Linked DNA regions of Kluyveromyces lactis. The main gene of each other region encodes a partner of the protein of the gene in region 3 in a complex. Links are inferred from orthologs where the notes say so. Each region holds a gene or a part of one and is shown on either strand. Other genes may lie near its edges. The genes, in order: MRPL31, MRPL17 and MRPL35.

The links.
Region 1: MRPL35 (region 3) and MRPL31 share a complex: the UniProt entries of both Saccharomyces cerevisiae proteins name them as parts of the mitochondrial large ribosomal subunit. The link is inferred for Kluyveromyces lactis from reciprocal best matches to the Saccharomyces cerevisiae genes MRPL35 and MRPL31.
Region 2: MRPL35 (region 3) and MRPL17 share a complex: the UniProt entries of both Saccharomyces cerevisiae proteins name them as parts of the mitochondrial large ribosomal subunit. The link is inferred for Kluyveromyces lactis from reciprocal best matches to the Saccharomyces cerevisiae genes MRPL35 and MRPL17.

Annotation. Positions count from the first base shown.
Region 1 is NC_006041.1:1,082,239-1,084,284, forward strand, and holds MRPL31 (mitochondrial 54S ribosomal protein mL60), read right to left. Parts: upstream 962-2,046; coding exon 572-961; downstream 1-571. Other genes in the region: kinetochore-associated Ndc80 complex subunit SPC24, read left to right, coding at 1-494; CMC1 (Cmc1p), read left to right, coding at 1,299-1,610; APL2 (Apl2p), read right to left, coding at 1,788-2,046. UniProt on the Saccharomyces cerevisiae protein: Component of the mitochondrial ribosome (mitoribosome), a dedicated translation machinery responsible for the synthesis of mitochondrial genome-encoded proteins, including at least some of the essential transmembrane subunits of the mitochondrial respiratory chain.
Region 2 is NC_006039.1:256,907-259,805, reverse strand, and holds MRPL17 (mitochondrial 54S ribosomal protein mL46), read left to right. Parts: upstream 1-1,521; coding exon 1,522-2,313; downstream 2,314-2,899. Other genes in the region: Nrd1 complex RNA-binding subunit, read left to right, coding at 1-1,204; TEX1 (Tex1p), read right to left, coding at 2,521-2,899. UniProt on the Saccharomyces cerevisiae protein: Component of the mitochondrial ribosome (mitoribosome), a dedicated translation machinery responsible for the synthesis of mitochondrial genome-encoded proteins, including at least some of the essential transmembrane subunits of the mitochondrial respiratory chain.
Region 3 is NC_006040.1:1,119,444-1,122,636, forward strand, and holds MRPL35 (mitochondrial 54S ribosomal protein mL38), read left to right. Parts: upstream 1-1,501; coding exon 1,502-2,593; downstream 2,594-3,193. Other genes in the region: KLLA0_D13068g (M1 family metallopeptidase), read right to left, coding at 1-419; KLLA0_D13079g (uncharacterized protein), read right to left, coding at 711-977. UniProt on the Saccharomyces cerevisiae protein: Component of the mitochondrial ribosome (mitoribosome), a dedicated translation machinery responsible for the synthesis of mitochondrial genome-encoded proteins, including at least some of the essential transmembrane subunits of the mitochondrial respiratory chain.

The DNA.
Region 1 (2,046 bases), on a different chromosome or scaffold from region 3:
ATATTAAAGAGATCAAGAGTAATATGAGACAGCTCACGAAATTGATGGCTGAGAAACAAACACACCACAATGAGCTCATGAAACAATTGCAATCACAGCTGCAAAGACAGCAAACTAAAGTGCAGGCACTTAAAAAGAATTTTCAGGAGCAAACAAGCCAAGTGAAACGCGTAGAGGACGAATTAAACATACCGAAATTGCAACAAGACATAGATAAACTGGTACAGGAAATTAACCAGCTTCGAGATACGATACAAGAGGGTATTCAAAAGGTCGTAGAAACACAGAAACAATTACTCAATGACGATACTGATGCTGCCCACACGATTGATGAGGAACCGATCGGTAAAGATGACAAGATACGTGTGCTAAAGTTGAAGTTGTTCCATTCCCTTGACGTAGCACTATATAATGACCAATTGCTCGATCTAAGGAATGAAGCCCGTCCATTATCATCATCATCATCATCTCACAACATCTGGGATGAACTATGATACCTTGATTTTATTCACTATGTACAGGGGCTACTTACTATGTAATAATAGAAGTTTTTAATGATGATTCATCCAAATCAGAAATGACGTGGGTTTCTTCTGATGGAAAGCTTGGTCCATTTGGGAACTTTATGTATACCCTTTCTATATCCCTTCGAGTACCTGTTGAATACACTGTACTTATCAGTAGCAGACATCTCCGGTTCCTTTGGGAAATACTGAGCCTTGTCTAAAATACGTAAGCTCTTCACACGAGGTTTAATCTTACGTAGATTCAGCTGAGATCCCTCAGAAACCGCCATATGGTTTCTTTCAAGATGAAGACCTAACTTAAGAGTTGAAAGAACATCATCAACGCTTCTCAAACGGTCTCTTTGTCTTGCTTTTTGAGGACCAGACATACGCCATGGGACTTTCCATAATAATCCACCTAATGCAGGTTGTGTAGCTCTGAATGCACCGAACATTTCTCTATGAAACAAAGATATTCAATTGACCCGGGTATGACAGAACCTAACGAGCTGCTTAAACAGTTTGTATAACGGTGCTACTGGCTGGCTTTTACCAATTTCCCACCGTAATTCATGGTATTAAATCTTTTAAACCTTCGAAATTTTTCAAAGTATCCATGAAAAAGCTTTAAATCTCAACATTATGCAAATGAACAATGTCAACTGATTTAAACGATTTTGGGGAACAGCCAGCGTATTGTCATTTGTAGCTGCTGCTGTGTCCATAACCATAGGTCAGAAGTTCTTATAGTACTGGAATACTGCACCACAAAGATAGATTATTCATTTAGAAATGTCAGAGGGCGTTGGAAAGCATAATCAAAGATTACCAATTTGGGTATTGAACCCTACCGAGGAGAAAGAAGCTCGTCAGAATTTGAAGAAATTTGCATATGCACAATGTGTAGAATACGTGGAGGCCATGGTCGAATGTTCAAAGATTCATGGATTGAAGCTTTTCCCAGCGTGTAACGAACCTCGTGACGCTATGCGCAAATGTATATTATCATACCAGAAGGATTCTAATCTGGATCGTCAACGTGACTTGATAGTGGAACGTAAGATTGAGAGACTTGAGGATCTTCTCAAGAAACAAAAGGAATAAAGTTGACATGATATGACATGACATGACATGCCACTGGGGTTACTTGTATATAGTAGTAGATACTGCACCATAATAAATTAACATTTTAGAAAGGCACATCCATGATTGAAGTTTATCTGCTTCATTGTTTCCCATTATAATTATAGTTTGTACAGGTGTTCAAAAGAGTAAACTAGTTTACATTAAGTCTAGAAGATCGGTTGCATGGGAATTCGAGGTGTTGTTGTTGTTATTATTGGTTTTCTGTGAAATGTTTACTTTCCCCATATCACCAGTGATATCGAAAAGATCATTTAGTTCGTCCAGGACGCCTGTACTTCTCGTGGCAGAGCTATCACCCATGTCAAGTAGTACATCATCGTTCATGTTTTTCAGGATCTCGTTCGTGGCCATTCCCTTTAATTCATCAATATCCTTATCCTTAATGATGTGAACT
Region 2 (2,899 bases), on a different chromosome or scaffold from region 3:
TCTAGGAAAGTTGCAAGTTGAACTGACAAAGAACCAAAAATTGGTTCAAGTAAACAAACAGGCTCCTCGCTCGATAGATAATTCTACCTCTTCTACCTCTTCATCGTCAAGGTCTACTCGCTCAACGCAGTACGTTGGAAGAGACTCCAGAAATGACAGATCTAGATCACCCCCAAGAAACAAAAATGACAGATCTCGAGCACAGGCAACAACTTCTCTGCATTTATCTAGGCAACAGCAGCAACAACAACAACAACAACAACAACAACAGCAGCAGTCAATTAATGGTCAACAAGGAAATAACCATCATTTGTACCCAGATGAGCAGAATGTTCCCTCAAACCCTCATTTTAGGCCAAAACCGGTATCCTTTGATCCAACTGTGCCAAGGGACCACGTAAAAGTATATTCCAGAACCCTTTTCGTTGGTGGTGTCCCACAAAATTTCAAAGAACATGATATTGCAAGAATGTTAAGACAATTCGGTGAGGTTCAGAGTGTTATTTTGAATAATGCCCGTAAGCACGCCTTTGTGAAAGTCTATTCAAGAGCAGAAGCGGAGAGGATCATGGCGCATTTCACTGGTGGTGGCAATCCGACACATGGTTTGAGAATCCGTTGGGCCGTTGGTTTCGGTCCTAGAGACTGTTGTGACTATCAATATGGATATTCAATCATCCCATTGGCCAGGCTAACCGAAATTGACTTCAAATGGTCACAGTCCGCGGAATGGGGTGGTACTGGTGGTCAACCAATCCAAACAAACATGGTTTATGAGGAGCCCGATATTATTGTTGGTGAAGGTGTTTCATCAAAAGCGATTTCGCAAAAGATGCCAACTGATAAAGGTGTTTTGGGTCCCAAGTCTGGTAAAGTTGGTCAAGCTACTGCTGTCTCTCAAACACCTATCCCCTACAGTAATATATCTCCTCCTCCTCCTCCGGTTCAAACATCACAAATACCGAACGTTCCTCAAATCCAACAACAGTATTATAACCAGCCATTGTATCAGCAGCCTCCATCAATGGTATATGGTCAAAATCAACTGCTGGGATCGGCATCATCTGCGCAGCAGCAGCAGCAGCAGCAATCGCATCAGTCTACTCAACCTTCGGGCCAAAAATCTCCTCAACCCCCACAAAATTTCGATCCAACTGCGCAATTAAACACATTGATGAATATTTTGAACCAAACGCCAAAATAATGCTTATATAAATGCACTTAAATAATTTTCTGTATCTGATAGCCTTTATGCATATGCAATTCACTCACTACTTTGTTCTATTAGTGACACCACTTGGAAAGTTATCAAATCCGTATATCGTGATCGATTATTTCATATTGAAAAATTTTGGAATAGTAGGCATGAGAGGATGTTCAAACAATTTGAAAAATTATTGGAACATCAGCATCATGTTGAAATAGTGCCGCTTATCAGAATTGGGAAGCATATTCACCAGCTGTCAATCATCGTGTATATTCAGTCAGCAACCCTCTTCATCGACACAATTATAAATAAAAATGTCTGTGAAAGCAGCAGCAAGCTCGATTCCCAAGGCAGTAAAGGCAGGTTTGGTACTTTCTCGTGTTCCAATCGTCACTCCAGAATTGAATGCACTAGAGAACAAGTACTACCAATACCAGGCAGAACTGGAAAGAAGACTAATGTGGACATTTCCATCTTATTTCTATTTCAAAAAAGGTACTTTGGCAGAGCGTCGTTTCCAGTCTGTACAGAAAGGTGTGATTAGCAAGCAGCCTGGTGTATGGTTCCCTAAAGGAGTGCCAGACGTCAGACATAACAGAGAAAGAAGTCAAAAGCAAGATATTATGCTACCAAGAGAGGCTTCAGAAGGTTCAAACAAGTCTGATGTCTCAAGGCCAATTGTTCCTAATTCCAGAACTACAAAGGCAGACGAAAATAACGATATTACTAGTTTAGACAGAAAATTGGACAGAACTCTGCATTTGCTTGTGAAGGATGACAAGGGAAGCTGGGTTCTTCCAAGTTTCCCGGTTGATATTGAAGCTAAGGAAGGAAAGAAAGCTTTACATGAGACCGCTGAAGTGGGATTAAGAAAAATCGGCGGAGAAGATATTAATACATGGACTGTGTCGAATACTCCAGCAGGTGTTCTACAATCTGAAAAAGATCTCCAGTTTTTGATCAAATCGCATATCATAGCAGGTGAATTCAAGTTAAAGGATGAAAAGTCAATCAAAGAATTTGCATGGTTGACAAAAGATGAAATCAAGAAAGCTGTTGACGAGAGATATTTCAATAGTATACAATATGTTCTTGCTGAGAATTAACATATTATCATCAAACACAGAAAGTATTGGCATGATTTAATCACTATATATATATGTAAACCCTCCTGTAAATACTGCTTCGGATAGAAATTCCAACCCGTATCGAACACTAAAAGATAACAATCATATACATATTGCTGAACTCTGATTGATTTTAAGATTGGAACATTATATACTTGTAAGAATGCTAATTAACTTTTAAATCTATCACCATCTATCATTTGGCTTTCTAAAAGAAGACCCTGTGTTGGAGCGACCAAACGACTTCTCACTGAATTTATCAGCATCTCTCTTGTATGGTTGTTTGCGCAGCTCTTTATCCCTCTTCCCGCGCTGTGGTGTGTCTCTTTGAGTTCTACTGCTCCGATCGGTGCTTTTCTTAACAAAATCATTTCGTTTACGATCATCGGTCGATACCATAGTTTTCGGTCTGCCTGAACGTAAATCAACCATTGTCATTTTATCAAGAGCACCAGTGGTGTAAAATATTAAGCACGACTTTGACCACTTGATTGTGGAACGTGATGAATTTTTAACCACCGTGTTGTATAGGATAGACAAATCATTGTACCAATAGAGACTTAAA
Region 3 (3,193 bases):
GTTGCCTCGAACTGAGTGGAAAACATTACCTTATTTTCACCGGTAACAAAATCAGTATAATCTGAACGGTAGAATCCAGACATATTAGTCTGAATCATACCCTTATAATCGATCTTCAACACGAATTCATCATCAGATATACTCTCCGGAAATTTCAAGGAAACAACATCGTTCTCTAAATCGAAACTATGGTCCTTCATTCCCAAAGACACAGACCCCTCTTTCAGTTCAACCACCGCAGAAACGATCTCAATGTCCCTCATATTCAATGAAATCATGTCATTGGCATTAACAGTGGACATAATAATACGCACGGATCCGATAAATGAATTGTGCTCAGCATCTAACTCACTCAATTCAATCTCATAATGGTTGGCCCTAAAGTCGGTTGGTAGAGTTTGAATCTTAACGTCAGCCATCTTTCAGTGAATCAGGTATAAACTATTCCAATACCTAATTGGTTCTCTGGATATATCACCCCAGTTGTCTTATATAGTGAAAAATCCAATATGAAATCAAAGAGTAGGTGTCATTCAAAGCTTTATCAAAGGTCTTAAGTGTTATCAATCTGTTTTCGTCAATGTGTCAAAATTTTTTTCTACCTTCCCTGCTGAAAAGCTCAGAAGTGAGCGTAGAAATTTTGATATAAGACGGAGTAGTATGAAAAGAGAAGCTCCTCCATTATCCAGCAGCACAACTGCTCATACGTTTCACCTCTTGTGTAGTTTTGGCAGTAGTTTCTTTGACCTATTAAACATTTTGCGCAGTATTGAAGAAGACCGTCTCTTTAGCTGATCTCCGACATCAGAGTCAATTGAGTCGCTTATATCAGAATCGGAGCTGAACATAGAGGGAAAAGCTCTCTCTGTTGGAGTTTGTGTATCAAACTGCGAGTAAACTTGAAGTTTAGATATTAGTATGGTAACTGCCTCGACATCGTGCCTTAACTCTGTAGAATTCGGTTCTGAACCGTTCATATTTGATTTAATAAGCTTTTGAATATTATACAGGATAATACAGGGAATGAGAAGTAAACCTACAATGCTGATTGGCAAAGGGTCTTTATACCAGGAAAAAGTTGAGGCATCTTGTCTTTACAGATCTGAAACAATGTCGCGATGAGCATTCTCATATAAGATTCGTCGTTTCAAACATAAATGATCATTATAATCCGCATATAGGAAAGGGAAGAAGAAAATATACAAAGAAAGATGGATATGATGGGTTCGCTGGATCAGAAGAGCGTCATTTGCAACATATGAAACCGAATGGCAGTCTCAAAGGCAAAGCTTACCAGTTATTGATCTCTGAACTTCCACTTGGAGCGAGAGGCACGATCTTCTGTTACCCGGACTGAAACACATTAAAATTTTTTGGTGAAAAATCGATTTCGAACGATTCAGATGAGTTTTAAGTATGAACGGACAATGAAGATACATGAATAATCAGTTGTAGGATCCCATTGGAGGGTGTTTCAGAGACTAACAACTCGAATTGGAGAATGTTGCGTAGAGGGTTGCACAGCAGTGCCAAATGTTTAGAGAAAACCGGGGTATGGTCGGACTTTTCTAAGAGATCCAAGTCGCTTGGTTTAGCATCAGAATCGATTAAGAAATACATCTTTCAAGGCGACAGCGATGACGTTAGAAGACGAGGTCCACCGTCTTTGAAGCGGAGGATGAACCGTTTGAAGTATACCTCTCCTGAACATATTGATGAGATGTTCCGCTTGAGTTATGAGTTTATGAGTAAGCGCGCTGAAGAGAAGTATTCGCAACTAGAAAATGAGACTGATGCCAAGGTACGTGCTAAGTTAGAAACAGAGGCTGAATTGCATAACCCAGAGGTCCAATACAATTTTCAGTATCATGACAAGTTAGAGAACGATACTAGAGTGATAGATTATGCTGTTCCAGTGTACAGGCGTTTGGGGCTGAAGCATTGGGAATCCTACGAAAAAATGTTGTTAATGCAAAGACTAGAGACTTTGAGTGTAATCCCCGATACGTTACCTACTTTACAACCAAGAGTACAGGTTAATTTACGTTTCCCATTCAGTACTGGTGTGAACAAATGGGTTGAACCTGGTGAAATTTTGTCCTCCAACACGACTTCGATGGTTCCAACAATTAAGATTCAAGAGTACGAGAACGGTATCGACTTCGAAAAGCAAAAATACACTGTGGTAATTGTGAATCCAGATGAACCGGATGTGTTGAATGATACATTCAAGACGACTTTGGCGTTCGGTTTGACTAATTTAAAGATAGACTATAACGACAACGTGGTAGATCCAAGAAAATACAATGAATCGCAGATTCTTGCAGATTACATTCCTCCAGTACCTGAGAAAAATGTTGGCAAGCAAAGGTTCTCTGTATGGGTATTCAGACAGAATGGTGATTTGGAATCCCCTGAACCAGTCGATAGAGAAAACTTCGATATTAGAGAATTTGTTCGTTCCCACAACTTGGACCCGGTTGGTGCTCATGTTTGGAGATCAGAATGGGATTCTAACGTGGCAAACATTAGAGAGAAATACGGATTACCAGAAGGGAGAGTGTTCCATAGAGTTCGTAGATCTGTTGTATGAAAAAAAAAATGAAAGTTTCCAGAAAGAGTTTATTTCCTCCTCGTCTCTCTCGCGATATATATGATTACACACTTTTCAACAACCTCAGGTGGTCTGAATAATATCTCATACCTCATGTAAATAATATGCAATGTAGAAAATCAATGCAACATACGCAAATCATAAAAAAAACTAAAAAGCTTGTTCGAATCTATTAAGAATATGATCATTAGTTAACATTTATTCCCGGTAACATAATAAATTATATAGTAATAATACGGTGTATGGTGCGTGCGTTCATGTGCGTCTGTTTTTTTGGACTGCCTCTGATTGAATATTTTCCTAGAGGCTATATATAGAATCTTCTTTTTTTTTGGCTGTTTCTTCTTCATATGTTATTGTATTGGCTGTAAATCTAATCGTAACAAAAAAAAGGATTCGTGAGGTCTTTCGTTCTTAGTCGAGGAAAGCAGATATAACTCTTGTTGTCATCATTTCTTGTTGACTACCAGAATTCAAACAGAGAATACAACCTTTTATTTTTCTATTATGCTTCAGCTCGGAGTTATGCATACAAGTTCCTTTCCCTTGTTACACAAAAGAGAAAAAAGAAGAATTAAA